Linked DNA regions of Caenorhabditis elegans. The protein of the gene in region 1 interacts with the protein of each later gene in a pairwise test. Each region holds a gene or a part of one and is shown in the gene's direction. Other genes may lie near its edges. The genes, in order: mig-5, dpff-1, unc-101 and pry-1.

Evidence for each region.
Region 2: the proteins of mig-5 (region 1) and dpff-1 interact in a two-hybrid assay, tested with the Caenorhabditis elegans proteins (2 studies listed by BioGRID).
Region 3: the proteins of mig-5 (region 1) and unc-101 interact in a two-hybrid assay, tested with the Caenorhabditis elegans proteins (3 studies listed by BioGRID).
Region 4: the proteins of mig-5 (region 1) and pry-1 interact in binary tests that used the Caenorhabditis elegans proteins (3 or more experiments, as listed by UniProt).

The regions. Positions count from the first base shown.
Region 1 is NC_003280.10:8,181,791-8,187,010, reverse strand, and holds mig-5 (Segment polarity protein dishevelled homolog mig-5), read left to right. Parts: upstream 1-1,987; 5' UTR 1,988-2,002; coding exon 2,003-2,041; intron 2,042-2,107; coding exon 2,108-2,256; intron 2,257-2,310; coding exon 2,311-2,464; intron 2,465-2,505; coding exon 2,506-2,581; intron 2,582-2,633; coding exon 2,634-3,111; intron 3,112-3,153; coding exon 3,154-3,276; intron 3,277-3,322; coding exon 3,323-3,648; intron 3,649-3,696; coding exon 3,697-4,221; intron 4,222-4,371; coding exon of another isoform or gene 4,372-4,384; coding exon 4,385-4,533; 3' UTR 4,534-4,688; downstream 4,689-5,220. Other genes in the region: cct-1 (T-complex protein 1 subunit alpha), read right to left, coding at 1-626, 672-977, 1,022-1,445, 1,490-1,565; dylt-3 (DYnein Light chain (Tctex type)), read right to left, coding at 4,702-5,141, 5,187-5,193. UniProt on the Caenorhabditis elegans protein: Plays a role in the signal transduction pathways mediated by multiple Wnt genes. Functions redundantly with other dishevelled family members throughout development.
Region 2 is NC_003281.10:5,903,045-5,907,800, reverse strand, and holds dpff-1 (Zinc finger protein dpff-1), read left to right. Parts: upstream 1-1,678; 5' UTR 1,679-1,685; coding exon 1,686-1,768; intron 1,769-1,894; coding exon 1,895-2,148; intron 2,149-2,186; coding exon of another isoform or gene 2,187-2,198; coding exon 2,199-2,404; intron 2,405-2,453; coding exon 2,454-2,556; intron 2,557-3,348; coding exon 3,349-3,438; intron 3,439-3,485; coding exon 3,486-3,718; intron 3,719-3,769; coding exon 3,770-3,919; 3' UTR 3,920-4,238; downstream 4,239-4,756. Other genes in the region: ER lumen protein-retaining receptor erd-2.2, read right to left, coding at 265-507, 552-743. UniProt on the Caenorhabditis elegans protein: Probable transcription factor, involved in meiosis and stress protection.
Region 3 is NC_003279.8:12,506,768-12,513,955, forward strand, and holds unc-101 (AP-1 complex subunit mu-1-I), read left to right. Parts: upstream 1-1,531; 5' UTR 1,532-1,787; coding exon 1,788-1,829; intron 1,830-1,883; coding exon 1,884-2,040; intron 2,041-2,721; coding exon 2,722-2,920; intron 2,921-3,519; coding exon 3,520-3,791; intron 3,792-4,015; coding exon 4,016-4,145; intron 4,146-5,179; coding exon 5,180-5,549; intron 5,550-6,035; coding exon 6,036-6,134; 3' UTR 6,135-6,653; downstream 6,654-7,188. Other genes in the region: asah-1 (Acid ceramidase subunit beta), read left to right, coding at 130-323, 535-744; mter-4 (Mitochondrial transcription termination factor family protein), read left to right, coding at 6,752-6,886, 7,063-7,150. UniProt on the Caenorhabditis elegans protein: Component of the adaptor complexes which link clathrin to receptors in coated vesicles. Clathrin-associated protein complexes are believed to interact with the cytoplasmic tails of membrane proteins, leading to their selection and concentration.
Region 4 is NC_003279.8:14,173,328-14,181,131, reverse strand, and holds the start of pry-1 (Axin-like protein pry-1), read left to right. Parts: upstream 1-1,771; 5' UTR 1,772-1,775; coding exon 1,776-1,880; intron 1,881-2,776; coding exon 2,777-2,839; intron 2,840-2,898; coding exon 2,899-2,988; intron 2,989-3,033; coding exon 3,034-3,171; intron 3,172-3,621; exon of another isoform or gene 3,622-3,694; intron 3,695-3,936; coding exon 3,937-4,118; intron 4,119-4,165; coding exon 4,166-4,297; intron 4,298-4,919; coding exon 4,920-5,148; intron 5,149-5,871; coding exon 5,872-6,052; intron 6,053-6,972; coding exon 6,973-7,395; intron 7,396-7,558; coding exon 7,559-7,658; intron 7,659-7,804. UniProt on the Caenorhabditis elegans protein: Works in parallel with axl-1 in negatively regulating bar-1 signaling in vulval precursor cells and Q neuroblasts. Inhibits Wnt signaling, which affects tissue specific expression of Hox genes, egl-5, lin-39 and mab-5.

The DNA.
Region 1 (5,220 bases):
GAGCTTTGGAGTGGTACGCGCGGAGTTTTGTCACTAAATCAGTAGAATCTCTTGCAGCATTGCTTGCCAAAACCTTCGGAATGATGAGAAGCGCTGAAGCGAATTCAGCAACAGCAAGCTGCTCGCGAGAAGACAAGGTTTGTGCATAAGTTTCAAGGAAAAGACTGAGAGAAGTCTCAACAGCACCTCCTCCAGCCACAAGTTTCTTGCTTTCCAGAACTCTACGAACAACACAGAGTGAGTCGTGAACCGATCTCTCCATTTCATCGAGCATCACATCGTTCGCTCCACGGAGGATAATGCTGCTGGCAGTACGAGATTTCGGTCCCTTGATGAGAATGAGCTCGTCGTCACTAATTCTTTCTTGAACAATTTCATCGGCATGTCCAAGAAGCGAGGCATCGAAAGCTTCATCTCCTTCCAAAGTAGCCAAGGAAACAGTCAATGTGGCTCCAGTAGCTTTGGCAATTCTCTTCAAGTCTGATTTCTTGCATCGACGAACAGCCATAGCTCCAGATTCGACAAATTGCTTCAAGCACAAATCATCGATACCTCCAGTTGTAAGAACAACGTTGGCTCCGGCTTTCAAAATTTTATCAATGCGGCGTTTGGTAATATCGAATTCTCTGAAAATTCCATAGCTTAAAAAGAAACGAATAGTTTCAACTCACTCTCTGCGAATAGCCTCAAGCTTGGCTGGATCTTCAACAACGACTGAAATACCGAGGTGCATCTTAGCCTTCATCAAAGAGAAATCGAGACATGCGATCTTGGCATTTTGAACACGAAGTGGCATGGCCTGACTGGCAACTGTGCAATTGAGTGCATATCCTTTCACCAAAACTGATTCGCGAGCGCTCTTTCCGTGGGCCTTCAGAACATTGACTGCATTGATAGGATAAGTGACTTTCCCGTTATTTTCCACACGAACAGCTTCCGCGGCATCAACAACCAGCTCTCCGAAGAAATCGGCGTCTCTGAAAAATCAATTTTCTTGAAGCATAGACAACACCAAACTCACGGTCCGATAATCTTACTGCTCATGGAAGTTTTGGCAGCGTTGACAACTGATTGTCTACCAATCGAGTCGGAAGTGAATGAGATGTTTTCACTAATGTACTTGACGGCTTCCTTGCACGCGAGACGGTAACCATTGATAATAGTCGTCGGATGAACTTTTTGTTTCACAAGCTCATCGGCTCTCTTCAAGAGCTCAGCCGCCACAATAACGACAGAAGTAGTTCCATCTCCGACCTCCTCGTCTTGCAGCTGTGCAAGTTCTACAAGCACTTTTCCAGCCGGATGCTCAACCTCGAGTTGTTTCAGAATTGTGGCTCCGTCATTTGTGACAATGACATCTCCAACATCATCGACAAGCATTTTATCAAGTCCGACAGGGCCAAGAGATGACTTCACAATATTGGCGATCGCAACTGCCGCGGTGACTGCAATTAATTAATGTATACTTATATTGAGCTTTCGGTGTTACCATTCTGAGATCTGATGCCTTGTCCAGTAGTTCTTTTACCGGTGAGGGCAAGAATGGAATCTCCAGCTGATGCCATTACCTGAAACACAACCGTATTAACTTAGCAATAGAGTAGGACATTCGATATTGAGTCAAAAAGGGGCTTTGAATAAGCACTCAAAAATAAAAATATACGTAAAAATGAAAATATTTCAGTAAAAATAAAAATGCTTCCAGAAAATCGGGGATCCCTTGAATTCTGAATCAAAATTAAAATTCTTGTAGAATATTCTCAGAGCGCATCGTACTTCATGCATGCTAGAAGGGTAATCGTGCCGAGACCCAACACCAGCTGTCACTAGGGCGTATTTGCAACATTGTTCCCACCCGCGATTTATTGCCGATAAATTAAAAATAAAATTGTTTCCGCTAGTCCTTTGCAAACAAATTTGTTTTTTTTGTTTCCTCTTGTAATTTTTATAAATATTTTATTGGTCTATAATTTAAAATATTGAATTCAGATTTCTAACATTTATGGAGCCGCCATGCACATCAGACTGCAGCCAGATAAAAGTAAGAATTTTGATCAGAATTGTTTTTTATTAAGCCAGTGATTAAACAGAAATAATTTTCTTCCAGGTCTTCTACTATCTCGACGATGAAACGACTCCCTATGTTTCTGTTATTGAAGCCAGAGAAGGAGTAGCGACGCTTGGAAATTTCAAAAATTCATTCACCAAGCGTGGATATAAGTATTATGCGAAGGAACTTGACCCGGATATTCAACGGTGAGTTTTGGCTTTTTTAATTTTTGTAATTATTCTGTACTGAAAAATGTTCAGAGAAGTTAAAGTCGAATTAACAACTGATTCGGATCGGCTGCGCAAATCCCAGAATGGATTTTATGAGATTTTTCTCGTTAGCACTCCAGGATATGGAACTCTTCCTCGAAACAGTGGAACAATGACGCGACCACAGAGAACTGCTCTAGATAAGGTTCGATTTCTGTTATTTTCAAAAAAAACTGATATTTTAAGCGCCGCCGACGAAGTGCAGACTTTGACGCGACTCCGTACTCTGATGCTAGTCTTGCTCCGAGCACCATTGTTAGCAGTGAGTTTTTGCTATTTATGTACTCTTAAAAACCTGTATGAACGTTTTTCAGGAAGAGCAGGAGAGCATCTGGCAGAATTATACACTTCAAATTCAGAGGATCCGTATCAATATGACGAGCATACACGTCGAACAGGAGATGATTCTTCGCTCTACGAACCTCTCGCTGCTCGTGATATGAATAAGATATACGATGACGATAGAAGAAGGAAAAAACAAAAGAAAGAAAGATTCAGAAGACCGTATGTTCCAAGTACTATTAGCTCAGCGACGGAATCAAGTGTTAACAGCGGCCTCCCTCGAATTCTGGAAATTTATCTACCAATGAAAAATGTTCCATATCTGGGACTGAGCGTGTGCACAATTGATGGTCATATATTCGTTTCCGAAATTGCACCAGAAGGTGCCGTTGAAAAAGATGGACGTGTGAACGTTGGTGATCAGATTCTTCAAGTTAATAGAGTATCCTTTGAAGAACTCAGTGGGCCTCAAGCAGTTCGTTCGCTCAGAGAAGCTGCATCCTCCAAAAGGTATTTTTCTACGCATTAGCATTAATTTTTTTTAATTTTTAGACCAATTACTCTTTATATCAGTAAGTTTGCAAGAGGTGCCCCAAGTGAATATGATGATCCACTCGCGTCCATGGCGTCTGAAACGATGCCCCTCGACGTTGGAGTTTGGGTAGAAACCGCTGTGTAAGGGTACCTCGCAAGATTTATTTTCTTAATTTGATACTTACAGGCAGAACACTGAAAAAATGAAAGCTCTGGGTTTGGATCCACAGGAGCAAACGGCAACTACAATTGATGACGGAACTCTTCCATTTACATCGACAGCTTCTGATGATGAGGAGCGAATGCTTTACGATCAACGTAGAAATGGAATTCCAAGAGCTTTGATTGAAGAAGCAGAAAGAAAACGAGAAAATGAGCAAAATGAAAAAATAGAGCAACTCACAGAAATGATTGATCCCATTATTGTTGTTCGTTCTATGGCTCGTCCGGATTCAGGATTAGCTGTCAAAAATCGAAAATGGCTGAAAATTTTGGTTCCAATGTCTTTTATTGGTGAGTACTGAACATTCAAGTATTAGGATCCAAACAATCAACGTTTAGGCCGAGATCTAGTCGATTGGCTCGTTGATCACATGGCTGATATTCATAATCGGAAGAAAGCTAGAATCTATGCTGCGAGATTGTTAGCTGCTGGTCTTATCAGACATGTCGTCAGCAAGTTGACATTCACAGAAAAGTGCTACTATGTATTCGGTGATGGAATTCTTGGCAATGATCGTAATTCCACGGACACCACTGGTACGAGTGGAACTACAATGCGAGTTGAAGCAACTACTGAAGTGACGTATGTTGGCTCACCAGCACCACATGCTCTGGCAGCACGAGTTGGAAGAAATATTCCTCATCGATTAGAAACCACTACTCTAAGCCCAGTTGCTCATGACCAAACATGGCTTCGAAGACGTCGAGATTGTGAGAGTCCTATGACAAATGATTACGCATCGATGGTCGGAGAAAGCCAAATTGGAATGAATCCAGTCGGAAATTATCATGTTTTTGGGACGAAAAATAATCACCGTCAGGTACCGGCACCTTCTCAAGTGACATCCTCAAGCTTGACAAACGGTGAGAAAATTAATCGTTTCTATAGGGTGCAGGAGTTAAATTTGAAGCAAATATTCATTTCAATTGATATAGTATTTGCTGTTTCTTGACTACTGTACCCTTTGTATCCAAATGACTTTTCACATAACAGTATTTCCCCAACCAAATTAGTTACAAATTCCAGGAAGTGGTGGCTTAGGAGGCCCTCCGCCGACTCCTCTATCCAGTACTATGGTTCTAGCAGCTTCTCCGATTCAGTCGCAGAACGCAGTCAACCACGATTTCGACGGGGAGAACAGTAGCAACAGCAGAACGCGTATTTTACGGACTTAAAATTTAAAACTCATTGCCTTTACCGATTCTCGCCTTAATTCCCACATGCTTTATTAATATTTAAAACTATGCCCTGTTTTCATGTATTTCAGTAAGACTAACGTTTTCATTCATTCATGTAATTTTGAGTCTATTTATGAATTATTTTAAATTTCTTCATGACGATGTTCACTTCGAAAAACGATGTGTGATGAAGAAGACTTGGACAGCACCGAAGATAGTTTTAGACATCCATTCCGAGTAGTATGCAGTATCCTTCGTAGTATCCCAGGAGCACATGTTGGCCGTGCAAATTGCAAGATTATCGGTTTTTGCAGAAATAGTACAATGAACCAAAAACTTTTTGCTTCCATTGAGCTTCACTAAATTATCCGAAATTGTTTGGATCATCTTGCTCATCCAATCAGACATTTTGAATGGAGAATATGGAGTTTTACCAATTATTGAATCAAATGATTTTTGAATAATTAAATCAATTTCTTGTTCTTCGGCATTTGAATAGACTTTCTTTTTGAGTTTCTTATTTTTCTTTTCAATCAATTGTCTCAAAAGCTGAGCGTTTTTTGATTCAATTTGCCGCTTTGCTACAGAAGAAGTTGTAGAAGTGTCTAAAATTTCAAATGATGTTGCATAATGTGACAAAGAAAACTAACCTGTCATTTTGAAACAAGGAATGAATGAAATAAT
Region 2 (4,756 bases), on another chromosome or scaffold:
GTTGTTATATTAGCAAAGTTAAAAGGCTGACGAATCAATTTGGACTACAGCGGAGATGTGCGCGAAATTCGGAATACGGGGAAAACGGTTGGAATCGGGAGAAACGACAATTTCTAAGCACAACAATTTTCTTGTACTATCTCCAATTTTGCCATCTCTGGATTTTACACTTTTTTACGGCATGTCGAATTGAGAGGGAAAATTTTGCACGCTGAAGTCAAATTTGGCGCATTTATTGTATTATTTATTATTTTCCAGATTTACCTCAGCGGAACCGGTAGACTGGAGAAGGAAGAGTTGTGGAAGAATGGCCACAGCCTCCAAATAGATCGAAAAAGTCCAGAGCAACTCAAATGGAGCGAAATCGTGATTGATGAGAAGAGCGAGGATCGCAGCTGGGACGATGAGAAGCTCGACACGGAAGGTATCCGACTCGCGCATGTAAGTTGAGCGGAATTTGAAGAACATCAGATACACTGTGGCGTACGTAGCGGCGAGGAAGGTGATCTGAAATTTGATTGTATTTATAATTGTTACGGACAGAAAGTTACCTTCATTGTAGTGTTATACAAAGAAATGTATGTGGAGAAAAGATCCAAGTATCGAGCAGTGAACACGAGAGCGAACAGAATCTGCGACCGCGCAGAGATTCCGGAGCACGATCTGCTCTTCCAGATTTTGAGCAGAAGGATGATAATCGCAAGCAAGTGCGACATATCTGCCGATATACGGAAGATGTTCATGATGACCCTAAAAATTATCATACTTTGAGAATTTAGATACATACATCAGGTAAAGAAAAGAAAACGCAAATATGAAATGAATTGGAAAACACCTATTCATTCCAGTGAATGGGTATGTTTTCAATTATCGAGGTCAACGTTGTTTATCAAAAGATAACGGATAGAGTGATAGGGAACAGAGAAAATTATATTATATGGACGGTAAAGTTCCGGAGAACGAACAGAAATGGTTTAGAGTTTTCCTTTCGCAGACAAAAAAGAGTGCAATAAAAGCCAGCACTGAATGTGCCACGTGGGAATTTTGAAAAATGCAAATACAACGCAACGAAGCTAAAAAGGTTTACTGAAAAAAACTAAAAAATGGAACTTAAAACATAAAGACAAAATTTTTAAACATTGAATGCAAAAACTACGTGTATTTACAGTTAAAAAACACATAACCCTGCATTCAACAAAAAAACAAACATTTCGATTCGCTAGGTAAAATGCATGGAAATATTCTATGAAAACTAGAATGTTTGAATAGAGCATTTTGTTCGAACGTTCTGAATACCGAATGTTTTTTTTTTGTTTTCGAAAGACCTAGATTTTCTAAAATTGTAGGCCTACATGAACTTTTCAACCATTTTTTGGTATTCACATAATGCGTAGCTACATATTAATCAATTATCGCAAAAAATTTAAACTGTTTAATTGAAAAACGAAACGTTTTAGGCCGGAAACGAAGAAGAAAACTCGAGCCAAAAGGTCCATCAGCCAACGAGTCCACGCTGGACAATACGCAATTTCGCGTGTTGGTGTTTGCGTACATCGGCAGCTGTCCAATTTATCGATCAGTGTTCATTCATTCTCTTGTTTTTTTTGTTTGTTCACACCGGGCGCCCGATTTCTTGAGCTATCAAAATGTTTAAAAATAATCCAAGACAGCTAATCTTACAGACAATGATCTCGGAAAACGGATATATGGACCTGATGCGGAACTGCATTAAATGGAATTCCCGGCAAATGGAGGATCGTAAAAAACGGTTAGTTATTGATGTTTCGGCTACTTAAAAAAGATCCATTTGAAATCTGAATAATCTAAGTAATGATAAATCTTTAGAGCATTTAGGAATTATTTTTTGGTTGTACTAAGCCCCTAAAAGTTGCAGACTGCGGTTCCCATACTATGAACATCAAACGGCTACGGCCCAGCGAGAGTCTCGCTTCACAACCCGCAACGTGGATCACATGTATCCATCAAATGATCCAAATACTGTTGTTCAATTCGCAACCGAGAGATGGAAGAAGAGCAAGTCACAGCCACCATCTGATGCTGTTGAGATGAGCATGTTTTTGCGTGAGAATCCGTCTATTCAGGTTGCAATTGATCATCTCACTCCACAAGTTGTCGGACCAACAACTGGTGAGAAGCATCAGAACGATTCAACCTAATTTTTGTAGTTCGATTTGCAGAAAGTGTTTCTGATAGTTCGAACGACTCAACTACCATCAGACCATCCCGCCAAACACAGATCAAAGAGGAATATCGTGATGACTACGTTCTTGACGATGAGCTCTCTCCAGACGAGTTTGGCTCCGATGAAGATGATTGGTCGTCGCGTAAACGCCGTAAAGGCAACTTGGGGCCTGTTCAGAAAGCAACTTCGTCACGTAAAAAGGTTTCTTTATTTATTCAATTGTTTAAATAATTTTATTCTGACTGTTTAGGTACCAACAACTCGTTCCTCTGTCTCTCGATTGACCCCATCTCGTTCCATAGTGAAGGAAACAAAATATGAAGAACCGGAGGAGAAGACGTATCCATGTGACAGTGAGTGGTTGTACGGCGGATTAGCGAAGCCCTCTCGCCCAGGAGAACACACCATTCTTCTTGTCCTTTTTAGTCTTATTTGCCTCCCCCATCGCCCACAGCATGTCAGTTACCGGGAACACTATCATCATGATTTTTAGTTTAATTTTTCGTATCTTGATTCATTCGGTTTCGAGATTTTTCAAAAAATTAGGATGCTTGGAAATTGCACGAGATTATTTATGTTTTTGCATGCTTTAGTTTTTTTTTTAATTATGCATGTTTCTCCAGAGATCCAAGGAAAATTAAATCAAAAAAATGGGAAATTTGGTCTAAAAAATAAATTTTGGAAGATTATGTATGATCTTTTTTTAATATTAGTTTCATAATTAGTGGTGTGATTTGTAGTACTTCTTCACATAATTGTGGATCTTATCAAATGTATTAGCTTCCTTCCTCTCGTTATCAATTTGCACTAAGTCATAAGCCAATATGTATCCTGAATATCCCATTCTTATATCCCTCCTAGTATTTTATCCCTCTGTAAAAGAAACCTGGGCGAGAGGGACCTCAGTAAAAAATCCTGCGGCAACCGCTCAACTGATCAAAAATACATCTCTCCCACCCGGGACACGGGGTCTATCGAGAGGAAGTTTGTAGAAATATAGGCACTAAATTTAGCATGTACTGAGTGTTCCTGGAAGCTTATATGATGTGGCATAATGGGAAATCTGTGATTTGAAAATACTCTTTTCAAACCGCATATTTCCCAAGTCCTTTCGTTTGTAATTTAAAATTTTTGATAATTTTCAGAATGCAGCGCGAAATACAAAAGCCTCGCGGGTTTAAGCTATCATCAGTCGTATCTTCATGATCAAAAGTCTAGTCAACCACTGGTTAAGTGTAAGTTTTTTGCATTCCAAGCTATTTTCAAATGTATTATTTTTCAGTATTGTCTCCCAGTATAGAAATATCTACTAGCTGTGATTTCTGCAGCGGCACTGCTTTTATGAACAAAAATACAAAATTGCCAGAGGATCTCGTTAGTTGTCATGATTGTGGTCGTTCTGGTCATCCTTCCTGTCTTAATTTTAATCAAAATGTGACCAAAATCATAAAAAGAAGCGGATGGCAGTGTCTTGAGTGCAAGAGTTGCACCATTTGTGGTACAAGTGAAAATGATGTAAGATATTTTCTATTATATTTATAAAGTGCAATATTAATTGGATTTCAGGATAAATTGCTCTTCTGTGACGACTGTGATCGTGGATACCATCTTTATTGTCTGACTCCGGCGCTCGAAAAAGCTCCAGATGATGAGTATTCATGTCGGTTATGTCAAGTTGAATTCGGAGACAAAGCGAGTGCACCGGCCAAGAAGTAATGGTTCTCAAATATTATATTTATTCCAATATTTTTTGCATAATCTCGACCCGTTTGCTTACGATCCTCCCACACCGTCATCCGATTATTTATTCTTCATTTTCACTTGAACTTTAAGTATTATTATTACTACGTAATGGCTCATACATAGAGAAAAATTCTTGTTCTAAAAAGCCAGCCTAAAACCTCACTCACCCCTCCTTCTGCTACTTTGATTTCTCGCTCTTTTCTTTTTTGTACTTCCACATTTTCCTCGTCCTTTTTATTTATTTCAGTCTTATCATAAAAAAGTTCAATAAATACTATGATTCAAAATAAAACACATGTGAAGAAACTCGAACAATATTGGAAGTTTCAAAGAATCAAACGGAACATTGAAAATTCTAATTCAAATTACTATTTTCCAGTTTAATTGACAATTTTTTTTATTAACATCTTGGAGTACGATACAAGGTCTTACAACGATCGAATATATCCAAATGAAAAGAGATAGGCACCTTTAAGAAGTACAGTAACCTTCACGGCCCACTGTTTTGCAGTTTTCTTTCATTTAAGCTAGTTAAAAATATATATAATTGTTTAATTTTAGATAAATATTGTCACATCCAATAGGTTTTTAGAGTAAAAATTACAACAAATAAAATTGCAAAACCATGGGGCGTGGAGATTATATTTGGTCTTGTCGAGACCTGGTACTGTATTTTTAAGTGAAAATTGCAAACTTTCGTATCTGGGTAATATATCTAGTTTTAAAAAATCTAAAATTATCGTTTTAGAATGTTTAATTTACTTTGGTTGTTTCATAAAAAGAGAATTAACTGTTTGTATTCATTTTATT
Region 3 (7,188 bases), on another chromosome or scaffold:
TTAGAATTCGGAAGCTTTGATTTCCAGGAAGCTTAGGCTTAGATTCAAGTGTCCCTAATCTTTGCTTCTAATATCCATTGGGCTAGATCCGTCTGAGATCCATAAAGGCTCTATATCCCGAGCTTTCAGCCTACCTCGACGCCAAGGAGCACTTGATGAACACTCCAATGCTCTCACCAGTCTACTTCATTCTCGGAGGATCCAAGAAGGACGAGGGATGCATCATCGCTAGAAGTCTCGACAAGACCGCACTTCTCACCGAGATGGCCACATCCCCACACGGATGGTACCTGTTGGAGACCAACTACGATCAGGGAACCGAGGTGAGAGATGCTAGAGTTGAAGGTGTAGAGTAGGTTCTGGTAGACGGATCTAGGGGCCCAACTTTTAGGAGAGGTCCTTCTCTAGGCCTAGGTCTAGTATTTTGAACCCAGCTTCTTTTTTTGAGTGGGTCGAACTCCTAGCTAGAAATTTTGATCAAAAATCTGTCAAAACCTATCCGGAATTAACTTATCCAACATTTCCCTCTTCCAGGACCTCTACCTTGACGACCGTGACACTCCGGGATTCCGTTGCATGGACAAGTTGACCCAGAAGAACGTCGGATTCGAGGGAATCTTCAACGTCTTGTCATCCCGCACCAACCTGAATAAGCTCACCACCTACACCGTCCTCATGTCCGTCGAGACTTCTCGCTTCGAGACCATCCTTCAATCCTGCCCGGGAGAATGCTATCCATGGTAGATTGGATTCAACATTCTCATATACGCAATGATTCATTGAAATAAACTTTCATTTTTGTAAATAAACTTTGATGGGTTCTTGTTTGAAAACGAAATTTTCATAAAATTTAAAAATTTTAGAGTTTTTTGGTTTTTTTTAAACAAAAATTAAAAATTTTAATTTTCCCGCTGGAAAAAAATAATGAGTTACGGTAGATTTAAAGGCGCATGCACCGAAACTTATCGAGGTTACCAAAGTTATTGCTTTTTGTGGAATTTTACATTTAAAAAATAATTGTTTGCTAATTTTATGGTTTTTCGTCGTTTTTTCGTTTCTAACCAAGTTTTCCTCCTGAAATTCAAATTTCGTCACAATTTTATTAAAAATGGGATACGGTAGATTTAAAGGCGCATGCCTAAATATTTCTTCTGAGTCTCGTAGCGATTGGTGGTTTTGTGGAATTTTCTACTAGAAAAATGAATTTAAACTGATTTTCCAGTATTTTTACACAAATTTTTTTTATTTCAATTCAATTTTCAAATTATTCAATTCAATTTTCTGGCGGAAATTGCCAGTTTTTGTCATTATTGTCCAATAAAATAAGGTACGGTAGTTTTAAAGGCGCACACCTAAATTTTGCTCCCTTGGTTTCAGTTTTGAATTTTTAAAATAGAATTTTAACCGATTTTCGTCGATTTTCACTTAATTTTTTGCACTTTTCCGACGAAAAAGTCGATTTTTTGCAAAATTCGGTATTTTTCTCCATTTTTTCGCGAAAAAACCGCTATAAACCAAATTCTCCACCTTTTCCATCCAATTAATCCGTCTCCAAGGCCTCCTGCACCGCTGCTGCCGCTCCGTCACTCGCCGAGAGAGTATATAAAGTGAAGAGACTGCAGACTGCAAGAGGGCGTGCCCGCCAGCAGCCGATATCCATCTTTGCACTCATTTTCTTCGATTTTCCTCCGTTTTCCGCTAATTTTCTCCGGATTTTCAGTATTTTCCAGTAGCTGCCACGTGGAATTTGACGATTTTAACGAGAAAATCGCAAAAAATCGTCGAAAATGGCGACTTCCGCCATGTTTATACTGGATTTGAAGGGAAAAGTGAGTTTTTTAGTGTTTTTCACGTCGGAAAATGCCAATTTTCGCATTTTTCAGACGATAATTTCTCGAAATTATCGCGGAGACATCGACATGACGGCAATCGATAAATTCATTCATTTACTCATGGAAAAAGAGGAAGAAGGCTCGGCAGCGCCCGTTTTGACCTATCAGGACACGAATTTCGTGTTTATCAAGCACACAAATATTTATTGTGGGTTTTTTGTGTGAAAAATTGAATTTAAAATCAAAAATTAGATAGAAAAATGGCAAAATTGAAGAAAATCCGTTGAAAATGACGCAATTGGTCAGAAATTTGAATTTTCAAGCCAAAAACCGATAAAAAGTGCAATTTTTTGTGGTTTTTAACATTTTCAAATTGAAAATAACGTTTTAAAACTAAAAAATGAGTTGAAAAACAGTGAAAAGTAACAAAATCCCTTGAAAATAACGGAAAACCCAAAAAAATTCAATTTTTTGATTTTAAAGTCAGAAAAATTCAAAAATTCCTTGATTTTCTGAATTCCCGAGTGCTAAAATTCAAAAAAAGCCGAATATTCGTAAAAATTGACTAAAATCAATAAAACTGCGATTTTCGTAATTTTTCCATTTTGTAGTTTATTTGAAATGTGGTAAAAATCTTAAAAAAGGAGCAAAATTGTTTCAAAAATCAAGCTTTTCTGCCAGAAAGTCGATAAATTGCGAAAAATTCGTCATTTTTCACACTTTTTCGACATATTTTCACGATTTTTGAGCCAGAATTGTAAATTTCCGGAAATTTTCCCGCCGACAGCGGGTGCAAGCGCGCTCCAATGATAAAACACCCATTTTTAACGGATTTTCAGTCATTTTCTCCAGAATTTCCAGTCAAAAATTCAAATTTCCCTCATTTCAGTGGTCTCAGCATGCCGTTCAAACGTCAACGTCACAATGATTTTGTCATTTTTGTACAAATGCGTCGAAGTTTTCTCCGAATATTTCAAAGATGTCGAAGAGGAGTCGGTTCGCGACAATTTTGTCGTTATCTATGAACTTTTGGACGAAATGATGGATTTCGGGTTCCCACAGACGACTGAGAGTCGAATTCTACAAGAGTAAGGAGGAAAAACGAGAAAAATTGAAAAAAATTACTCAAAAATTCGAATTTCCCGCACGAAAAATCGTTTCATTTTCTGCTGCAAATGCGCTCCAATGCGAAAATAGCCAAATATTAGCGTTGGAGCGCATTTGCAGCGCGCGATAGCAGTAATTTTAAATTTTGGGTCAAAATATGTATTTTCGACCCTAAAATTTTGAATTTCCAATCACAAATGCGCTCTAATGCAAAAATCGCAAAAAATTTACATTGGAGCGCATTTGCAGTGGCGGGGAATTCAAAAATTCAAATTTTCCTGTTCAAAATGTGTCTTTTGTCTCGAAAATTTGAATTTCTATTTGCAAACGCGCTCCACTGCGATTATTTGCACTGTAGCGCGGTTGCAGCTGGGAAATTTGAATTTTCATTGAAAATTTCAATTTTCTCGCATTCAACATGCAGCAAACGCGCTTCAATGCAAAAATCGCAAAAGTTCACATTGGAGCGCAATTTTCCTGTTCAAAATGTGTTTTTCGACTCGAAAATTTGAATTTTTGTGCAAAATTATCATCGATTTTTCCTCAATTTTCAATCAAAAAACCCCCCAATTTTTTGCAGATACATCACACAAGAAGGTCAAAAACTAATTTCGGCACCCCGTCCCCCGATGGCAGTGACAAATGCCGTCTCATGGCGCTCTGAAGGCATAAAATACCGAAAAAACGAGGTTTTCCTGGACGTAATCGAAAGTGTGAACATGTTGGCCAGCGCCAACGGTACCGTACTTCAATCGGAAATTGTTGGAAGCGTTAAAATGCGTGTCTATCTTACCGGAATGCCTGAACTTCGGCTGGGTCTTAACGATAAAGTACTTTTTGAGGGCAGTGGACGTGAGTTTTTTCGAATTTTATGCGAAAATTGAGATTTTTCAGGCAATTTTACCCTAAAATCGATAAAATTTTGTTAAAATTCAACAATTTTAAAGTTTTTAGCGTTTTTCAATTGCGCTCCAATGCGACTTTTTTTAAATTTTTGCAATGGAGCGCGTTTGCAACTTGAAATTCAAACTTCCTACCGCTACAATCGCGCCCCATTGATAATTCTCGATTTTCAGGCGGAAAAAGCAAATCTGTGGAACTGGAAGACGTGAAATTTCATCAATGTGTACGCCTGTCGCGTTTTGACACGGATCGAACGATCTCCTTCATACCGCCCGACGGAGCATTTGAGCTTATGAGCTATCGGTACGAAAAAAGTGGAGAAAATCGGATTTTTAACCGAAAAATCGAGTTTTTCGCATGATTTTGACGGAAATTCAGTGATGTGGCCTAGTTTTTTCGAAAAGTTAGGCCACCGACTTCTAATCTGTGGCCGAAGTTTGATTTTGTCTATTTTTTGGCTTAAATACTCGATTTGAAAGCTGAAAATGCCAGAAAATCCTAGGAAATGCCAATTTACCCACGTGGCCTAGGTTTTTTGGAAGTTAGGCCACCATAGCCTAGTTCGTGGCCGAGTTGTAATTTCGAGTTAATTTCTGCTTTTTTATGCCAAAAACGCTCGAAAAACAATTATAAGGTGTAGAAAATACAAATTTGCTTACGTGGCCTAGGGTTTTCCGGAAAAAACTAGGCCACCAAAGGCCGATTCCTGTTTTTGGGTTCTTTTAGGTCAAAAAACTCGTTATTCAGACGAAGAAGAGCTCAGTAACATGAAAAATTCTAGAAAAATACAAATTTGCATACGTGGCCTAGATTTTACAAGAAAGTTAGGCCACCACTGGCCAATTCATGGCCGAACTCTATTTTTTGGCTAAAAACTCGGCTTCTTTACTACAATAGCTCGATTTTTCTGTAAAAACACGTTAAAACTGTAACAAATGGAACACGTAACATGCAAATTTCCACTCGTGGCCTAGTTTCTCGCAAAAGTTAGGCCACCACTGATCAGTTCGTTGCCGAACTCTATTTTTTGCTGAAAACTGTGTGTCTGGATCAAAATTGTTGGTTTTTCTTAAAAAATAAGTCAAATACACCTGCGGCCTAGGTTTTCGGGTAGAAAATTAGGCCACACCTTAATTTTGAGTCTAAAAAGTTGATCACTAGGCCAAATTTAGCTTGAAAACACTGAAAAATAAAAAAAAAGCAAATTTACATGCGTGGCCTAGGTTTTCAGGTAAAAAGTCAGGCCATGCCTCAATTTTGTGTCGAAAAACTCGATTTTTACCTCAAAAAGCTCCAATTTTTCCTGAAAATTCTCGAAAAATACCGTTTTTTTTCAGATTAACAACCGTGGTGAAGCCGCTGATCTGGATCGAGACAAGCATCGAACGTCACAGTCACAGCCGTGTCTCGTTTATAATCAAAGCGAAATCACAATTCAAACGGCGCTCCACTGCTAATAACGTGGAAATCATTATTCCAGTCCCGTCGGACGCTGATTCACCGAAATTCAAGACAAGCATCGGTTCGGTGAAGTATACGCCCGAGCAATCGGCCTTCGTATGGACTATTAAGAATTTTCCCGGCGGAAAAGAGTACCTTTTGACCGCCCATCTATCTCTACCGTCTGTGATGAGTGAAGAGTCTGAAGGACGGCCGCCGATTAAAGTCAAATTTGAAATTCCGTATTTTACGACCAGCGGCATTCAGGTAGCCGAATTTTTCGCTTAAAATTCGACTTTTTAGCTCAAAAATTCAAATTTCCCACCGCCAAAAACTGCCCAATTTTGAGATTTATGTAATTTTTTCGCTCTAAAATGCTGAAAATTTCATTTAAACACATGATATTATTTAAAAATCCGACTTTTCAACTAGATTATTTGAATTTCCCGCCGACCGCATGTTGCAAGCGCGCTCCACGGATAAAACTGCTCAAAATGCAGATTTTTGTGATTTTTTTGCGTCAAGATGATGCAAATTTCTCGAAAAAACCTAACATTTGACTTTTTAACTCAAAAATTCAAATTTCCCGCCTACCACATATTGCAAGTGCGCTCCACGGAGAAAACGGCTCAAAATTGAGAATTATGTGATTTTTTGGTGTTTAAGGGTGATAAAATCTTCTAAAAAAAAGGCTTGAAAATTCAATTTTTCCCATAAATTCCACCAAGTAAACCCTAATTTTCAAATTTTCAGGTCCGTTATCTGAAAATCATCGAGAAAAGTGGATATCAAGCATTGCCGTGGGTCCGCTACATTACTCAAAATGGAGAATACGAGATGCGGATGAAATAATTCCTGAAAAAATTACCTAAATTCATATTTTATTGTATTTTATTCCCAATTTTACTCTTAATTTTTGGAATTTTTTATGAAAAATTGGTGAAAAACGACCGTGGCCGAGTTTTTGGAAAATTTGGAGGTCTAGGCCACCATGCTTCCAGTGGTGGCCTAACTTTTCGAAAATCCTAGGCCACGGCCCCGTTTTCCATCAATTTTTGCCTCTTTTAATGTCAAACATCTCCAATTTTTTCTGTGAAAATTTAATGCTCCGCGAGCTGCTCCCCGGCTCAAAACATGTGTTGTGTGTGCTCTTTCCCCTGATGACCCCGAACTCTATTTTTTTTTGTTCGAAAATTTTTATTTTATTTTTCCCACCGATTTATTTATTGATTTTTATCGCATAATTTAGATTTTTTCCAGAAAAACGAGTTTTTTCCCTTTCCCACCAGCATAATTTTCTCACCACATGGATCCTCATCAATTTTTCCCGTTTTCCTTTTTTCAGTAAATCAATAAATTTTCTGTCATAATTGTTTACAAAATGTTTTCCGGGGGCTAAAAATTCCATTTCAAAAATTGTCTAAATTTCCAGAAAAATCACTGAAAAAAATGCAAAAAATTGCCAGAAAATGCGCCGATTGTTGCCGATTTTTCGTCGAAATTTGCGAATTTCTGCATTTTCGCGTCAATGCACCACATCTGACGACACTTTGCGGACTTTTGCGCCAAATGCGTTGATGGATCGAATTGTGGACGATTTGAAGGTTCGGCAAAGCGGGAATTTGAAAATTTTGAAGATTTAGCATTGGGGCACACTTGCATCACGCTTTTATGGCGCGAAATTTGAATTTTTGCCCTAATTTTGGACTTTTTTTTGCATTGGAGCGCATTTGCATTAGCGGGAAATTCAAATTTCCAACTCTAATTCAATTTTTTCCAGAAAACTGGCACACATTTTGTGATTCCCGGTCGAGATTCCTTTGCCAGACAGGAATCGGCAAAAGTTTTCGAAAAACTTTTGGAAAATGGTAGGTTTTGCTAATTTTTTTTAGTGAAAAATTTGAAA
Region 4 (7,804 bases), on another chromosome or scaffold:
TCTTTTTCCTAAATCCTTCTGTTTTACCCATTTTCCTTTTTAGACCATCTTTGGGACTATAATATTTGCTTTGAAAACTGGAAAATTATATGAAAAATCCAGTTTTTAAATTTATTTTAGGCTCAGTTTAGGCCAAACTATTTTAGGTCTTTTTTAGGCGTAAAAATTTGAAAATTTTTAGACTCGGTTTAGGTCAAACCATTTCATGGCCAAATTTCGGCTTGAAATCTAAAAAAAATTACGGTAAAATCTTATTTTTTGAAATGTTTGAAAACTCAAAATATTCCAAGAAAAAAAAAACTAGTTTTACAACATTTTTCTGGGTTTTCTTAAAATCCTTGTTGGGCTAAGAAATTTTAAACTAAGAAATTTTGCTGAAATCTTAAAAAAATTGTGTTGTTTGAGGTTTACTGGCCAAATTTTAGACTTTTTTTTTAATGGCGATAATTTCAAAAAAATCAAGTTTTTACAGCGTCACATTTTTTAAACATTTTTTAAGCTTAAACTATGAGATAGCAAAAAATTGTCTACTAACAAAATAATTACCGTAAAATTTCCTACATTTTATTAATAGCCAACTTTTCGATTGCTTCAGGCTCCACAGAGTTATAACGGTTTGAACTCAAGAGGCGCTAGGCTCCTTTTAACTTCAAACCTCTATAACTCTACAAATAAAAAAGCTAGCAAAAAATTGTTAACTATCAAAATAATTATCATAAACTTTCCTACATTTTATTTATTGGAAACTTTTTGATACCGTCATTTTCTGCAGAATTACAGGATTTTGAACTTGACCTCTACGCCTCCCTTGGCCCCCAGTTTTAACTTAAACCCCTATAACTCTGCACACAATGGTGCTAGCAAAACATTTGAACTGACAAAATAATTGCTATAAAACGTCCTACAATATGCTAGTTAACAACTTTTTGATGGCATCAGTCTCCGCAGAGTTACAGCTATTTGAACTTGACCTCTAAGCCTCCCTTGGCCCCCAGTTCCAACCTAAAAGCTCCATAACTCCGCAGAGAGCAGAGCTAGCAAAAAGTTGTCAACTAACAAAATAATCTACGTACAATTTTCTACATATATTCAATTTAAATTTTTCTGCTAGACCAACTTACCAGCAAGATCAACGCCCCTAAAGTTAGGGGCCCCTCCCGGTAGCCGGTCGAGCGTCCCCAGTAAACTCTTCCGGGGGCACCCGAAACAATGTTCACTCATCAATCGTTGTCATCTTTCTGGAGACATGTGTCTTATCTGTGTGTGTGTACTACTACTCTTCCCAATACACCCCATTACTCTCCGTCACTATCTCTGCGTCTCTCACCCCCGCCACTCTCTCGCTCTCGCCCATTCATTGAGTAAGCGAGGGGCCTCATTCCTTGATTATCAGCCACTGATAGGAACAATAAGACACCCATAGTTGTTCCATTTTTGCAATTAGAGAGGGAATAGTGACGCTTATAATATATTGTATATCCTATATCTTATCACAGTTTTTTTTTTTTTTTTTTGTGTATAGTTTTGGCCTATTTTATAGGTTTTGAGGGGGTCAAACTGCTAAGTTTAAATAAAATTTGTTTAATTTTCAGTAAAAGCGTCATTAGAAAAGTTTTGAACAAAAAATTGAAAAAAAAAATTTTGGCAAAAAAATTATTTTTTTAAAATTTTTTCAAAAAAAAATTTCCCTCGATTTTTCAAGTTTTTCTCTACTTTTTTTTTTGAATATTCTCTTATTTCAACATAATCATAAAATTCACCTCCTTTTCAGGTGCATGGAGACCCATCTCGGTTGGGCGCGAAGCCTGGAGGCCGTTCTATCCGATCGATCGGCACTCGACGCGTTTCAGGAATGGCTTATTGAGTACTCCTCGCCTCAGGTAACTTTTTTTTTGGGATTTTTCTGCGAAATTTGGATTTAGCTTGCCGAGAGCTTCAAAATAAGTATAATCATGACATTTTTACGATGATTTTGAAAATTTTTAGGTTTTGGCGCAAAATTTTTAGATTTTCTTTTGCTGCGGGACCCAAAGTTCCAATATTTGAAATTTTTACTTGTTTTCGGATGTAGCTTGTCAAGAGCTTCAAGATGAGTATAATTATGCCTAGGTTACTTCAAACTTGAAAGAATCTGGGTCTCACCGCGAAGGTTATTACTGTAGTCCCAAATTTTCGTGGCGAGACCCTAATTTTTCAACCTTTGCGGAACCTGGACATCATTATACTTATCTAAAAGCTGACAGCGAGCTGACTTCGAATTTTATAGTTTTGCAGGCGAAATCATAATTTTGTGAGAATTTTGACCAGTTACAAGGAAAGTCTGCGATTTCACGTTTTTTCGAAAATTTTTTGCGAAAATTTCAACTTTTTTTAATTTTCGAGATAAATTTCTCATAATTTAATCAATCTTTTCATGCGCTTTTGGAAAAGCATAATCATGACCACGTTTCGCAAAACGTTGGGTCCCACCACGCAACCCATGGGGTTCTGTAGTTGTTTGTCGTTGTGGGACCCCATAAAAATTAAATTTATTGAAATTCATACACAGCATCCTGAGAGCTTTGAAATAAGTATAATAGTCTAGGTTCCGTCAAAAAAAAGTTGGGTCTCACCACGAAATCTACTACTGTGGCCCCACATTTTCGTGGCGAGACCCAATTTTTTCAAACTTGACGGAACTCATGCATGATTATACTTATTTCAAAGCTCTCAGCAAGCTAAATTCAAATATTGACTTTAAATTTCCGAATTCTCTAAAAAAATAAGAAATTTTCAGTACCTCGACTTGTTCTTCGCAATCCGAGCATACGAACGAATGGCGTTGGAGGGAAAACCGGAGGTATTGATTTTTTTGCAACTTTTTTGGCAAATCGGGCAATATTTATCTATTTTTTTTAGAAATCCCAACTTTCCAAGTCAATATACTCGAAATTTTTGTCCTCTCGGACCGGAAACTGCGAAGCAATTCCCAAGCATTTTAGGGCTCCGGTAAGCTTTTCTTAAAATTTTTTAAAATCAAAAATTAATTTTTGGATTGGTGAAAAACTACGTCATGGCACCGAATTAGAGGATCGGGTATTCAGTCATTGTTCGAATTTTGTTCAAGAATTTTTAAGACGCCAACACGAGGAGTTTGTGGGCTCCGAAGAGTTTATTGAGGCTTTTAATAAGGTAAATTGTTTTTTTTTTTAATTGTGAAAATTTGAATTTAGCTCACTGAGAGCTTTAAAATAAGTATAATCATGCCTAAGTTCCGTCAAATTTGATAGAAGTTGGGTCTCACCACGAAAACCTACAGTAACCCAGGATTTTCTTGGCGAGACCGAGGTTGTTTGGAAAATTTACAGAATTTGCGAAACCTATGCATTCTTAATGTAATATCGGCGGTCTCAGTTCAGATTTTCAGAATTTTGGCGAAAATTTTAGGGTTTTCCAACAATTGGGTCCTACGACGAAATTTTTCCGGTGCCTAACTTTTTGAATTTTGATTCTTTGCAATTTTTATTTACAAAATTAAACTCAATTGACTGAAAGCTTCAAAATAAGTATAATCATGCTTAGGTTCCGTTAAGTTTGAGAAAAGTTGGGTCTCGCCACGAAATGTATTACTGTAGCCCCAAATTTTCGTGGCGGGACCCAACTTTTGTCAAATTCAACCAAACCTAGGCATGATTATACTTATTTGAAAGCTCTTTCTAAGCTAAATTGAATTTTTATAGTCACAGTGTGAAAAATTTGAAAACCGAGAAGTTGGGTCCCACCACGAAAGGGTTACTGTAGGTTTTCGTGGCGAGACCCAATTCTAATAGAACCCAGACATGATTATACTTATTCGAAAGCTATTTTTAAGCTGAATTTGAATTTTAGCATTTTACGTATCTTATCGCAATTCTGAAAAAAATTTCCAATCCCAAAAACTAAAAACCCCAATTCCAGATGTCATCTACCACCGCCGACCAGCTCCCGGGAGGCTCCGCCCACCATTCATCACACCAAAACACCATGAGAAGGTCGTCAGGCACTACCTCCCGTAAAAGTGCCGCACAAATCGCCACCCAGCTCACAGCTGAGGCCCTCCTAAAATCGAAACACGACAGGCACAGCAAACTTGGAGAAACGTAAGTCGCCTACCTACCCTACCTATTTAAATTTGAATTTTTTTTAGAAAACTTGAGAAAATGTACCCACCGACACGTCAACCATACGTATGCAACGCCACTACCTCACACAACGACTCGGCTGTCAGCTCGACGTTTTCTGGGGACACGCCCGAAGCCCATAGGATGCATAGTAATAGGTAGGTGATTTTGGTTAATGTATTTGAATTAAGCTTGTTGAGAGCTTTTAAATAAGTATAATTATGCCTAGGTTCCGATAAAATTGGGTCCCGGCACGAAAATCTACACTAACCTTTTCGTCGTGAGACCCTACTTGGCAGTTTTCAGATTTTTTACTTTTAAATTGTGATAGCTGAGCTCAACTTACCAAGAGTTTCAAAACAAGCATAAACATGCCCAGGTTCCGTTAAAATTGGGTCCCGCCACGAAAACCCCGAGTTACTGTTGGTAGGTTTTCGTGGCGAGACCCAAATTTTTTCAAACTTAACTGAACCTAGGCATTATTATACTTGTTAGAAAGCTCGTTACAAGCTGAACTTTAATTTCAAATTTTTAGGGTTCAATAAATTATTTCTGAAAAAAATCGCGACGAGACCCAAATTAAGCTTATTTTTTTGAAAATTGTATTTTTTTGAAAACCTTAAATTTTAGTGTTGAGAGCTATTACTACAAAAAAACCAAAAGTTTTCGCGGTAAGACCCTAAAATTTTGAAAATTTTCAGGCCATGGCATGATTATACTTATTTTGAAGCTCTCAGTGAGCTTATATCAAATTTTTATCTAAAAGTGTCTAATTTCCAGACTCCGCCATATCCGAGACGAACAAGCCCGCGAGAATCACGGTACCATGACACTGCCACGTGTCGAAAAAGCCAGCGTCGATGGTCAGCAATGGGATCATTCTTCTGAATCAGGAAGAAGAAATTTTGCAATGGAAATCACCAGAAAACTGCTTAGGCATATTGATAAGGTTAAGCTAAATGATGAGATGGAGAAGAGGATTGACGATATCGAAGAGTGTCGGTATACGGTAGGTTTTTCAGTTTCGAGTTTTAGGCTTTGAATTTGTAAAATTTGAAATCAGCACGCCGAGAGCTTCAAAATATGTATAATCATGACTAGGTTTCGCCAAGTTTGAAAAATTTTGGGTCCCACCACGAAAATGTGGGGTTACAGTAATACCTTTCGTGGTGGGACCCACATTTTTTAAAACTTGACGGAACCTAGGCATGATTATACTTATTTTGAAGCTCTCAACAAGCTGAGTTTGAATTTGTAATTTTTAAAGTGAAATTCAAAGAATTTTAGGGTCCCACCACGAAATCGTACTTCGCGGCAGGACCCAACTTTCTTCAATTTTGCAATTTTGCTTGGAAACTTATAAATTGGAGCTAACTTTGCTCATAGCTTCAAAATAAGTATAAACATGTCTAGGATCCGTTTTATTTAAATATTCCTGGTTTAAGCGTACAGTAACCCTAGATTTTCGTGGCGAGACCCACTATTTTTCAAATTCAACTAAACTTGAGCATGATTATACTTATTTTGAAGCTCTTTACAAGCTGAGCATGTTTTTTTAGTTATCTAGTCACCACTGCAAAATTTGGATTTTTTGGGTCCCACCACGACTACAGTAACCCTGGATTTTCGTGGCGAGACCCATTATTTTTTGAATTCAACTGAAATAGGGCATGTTTATACTTATTTTAAAGCTCTTATCAAGCTGACTTCAATTTTCAAATTAATTTTTCAGACAATCGACATGGTAAACGGCACGGAGCCCAACGACGATCTGGGGAAAATCGATGAGGACGAGGAGTTGGATGATTATCTGAAAATGAAAATGACAGATGATTCCCAAAAAGGATCAACAAATCGATCACCTAAAGGCCCAGCAGGAGAGCCCAACAAATCTGGAGAAGGATCGAAAAATAGTGAGTTCCCATGCTCCGGTACCATATGTCGGGTTATTCTCATGAAGGGATTAATATTACTAATAGGTGTTAGAATTGGAATAGCTGTTAGTAAACATCTTAATGACAAAAATATTTGTCAGGGAACGTTTTTTTTTAGTTCGAATCTATGAAAATTAAAAATAAAAAAATTTTTGAAATTTTTTTTGAGCAAAAACTTTTTTCTCCAAAATTAATAAATTTAATTATTGAAATTATTAAAATCACGTCTGCCTCATTGAGAGCTTCAAAATAAGTACCAACATGCCTAGGTTTTCTTGATTTTGGGTTCCGCCACGAAAATGGGTGTTGTAGCTTTTCGTGGTGAGAACCAACAACTACAAAATGACATTTTTGCTTTAAAACTACAAAATGCAAGCTCAGCTCACCTAGAGCTTCAAAATAGGTATAATCATGGCTAGGTTCGGTGAAATTTGAAAATTGTTGGGTCTCGTCACGAAATGTATTACTGTAGCCCCAAATTTTCGTGCCGAGACCCAAAAATCTTCTAATTTGACGAAACCTAGGCATGTTTATACTCGTTTTAAAGCTCTTGACGAGCTGAAAAAAAAAATTACTAAAACTGTAAAAGTTTTAAATTTTAAATATCTTTCGTGGTAAGACCCAAATTTCTGAAATTTCAAAAAAAAATCCAGTATTTTTATATTTCCAGTCAATTTTCAAACTCAGCTCGTTCAGAGCTTCAAAATAAGTATAATCATGCCTAGGTTTGGTGAAATTTGGAAATTTTTGGGTCTCACCACGAAAGTTATTACTGTAGCCCCAAATTTTCGTGGCGGGACCCAACTTTTTTCAAACTAGACGGAACCTAAGCATGTTTATACGTATTTTGAAGCTCTTCATGAGCTGAATTCAAATTTCCAATTTATAATATTTTCCAGCCACCCTCTCCCCAACCAATCGTGCTCCCGCTCAGCTCCACAACACAATTCGGGTCCCGAGACGAAAAGATTACCCCCGGGACACCTCGGCTTCTCTAAAATCTCATCGTCACCATCAAATCGACACAAATCGAATGATGAGCCAATCAATGTGCGCTCCATCGTACTCCTCAGCCAGCTCCTCCTACAGTAGGGACTCCTTCGCGCCGGCGCCCACTACCAGGGTGAATTTTGCTCCGGGGAGCAGCAAATCGAGTCAATTCTATGATTCTTCGGGAATTGGGTCTATGGCACCGTCGGCGTTCTCCGCCACTTCGTCACTGGATTATAAGGATCGGAGGCAGCACAGAAAGGCTCCAACGCCTAAGAAGCACTCGAAAATTGGGAAAAATTTGTCGAATTTGATAACTATTAGCTATTTAGGTAAGGTTTCATTTTTTTATACAAAAAAAAGTGAAAAAAAAAATTTTACAAATTTTTTTTTGAAAATTTTTTTGAACTTTTTTTTCAGATTTTCTATGTTTCTAGGGTAGATTTTACCCTAAATTTTATATTTTCTAACATTTTAACTCAAATTTTTTTCCAGGAACCGATAAAATCCCTGTGGTAACACATGTCCCTAACGATGGACCAATGACGTTGGCGGAGTTCAAGAGGCACTTTGCTCTGCCAAATGGAGCACATCAGTGAGTTTTTTTTTGGGTTTAAACTGGGAAAATATTGATTTTAGGTTGATTTGGAAGTTTTTGGAAAATTTTGAAAAAAAAAATTTTTGCTCAAAAATATTTTTTTTTGGAAAAACAAATTTCCAAAAATTTTCAAAAATTTTTTT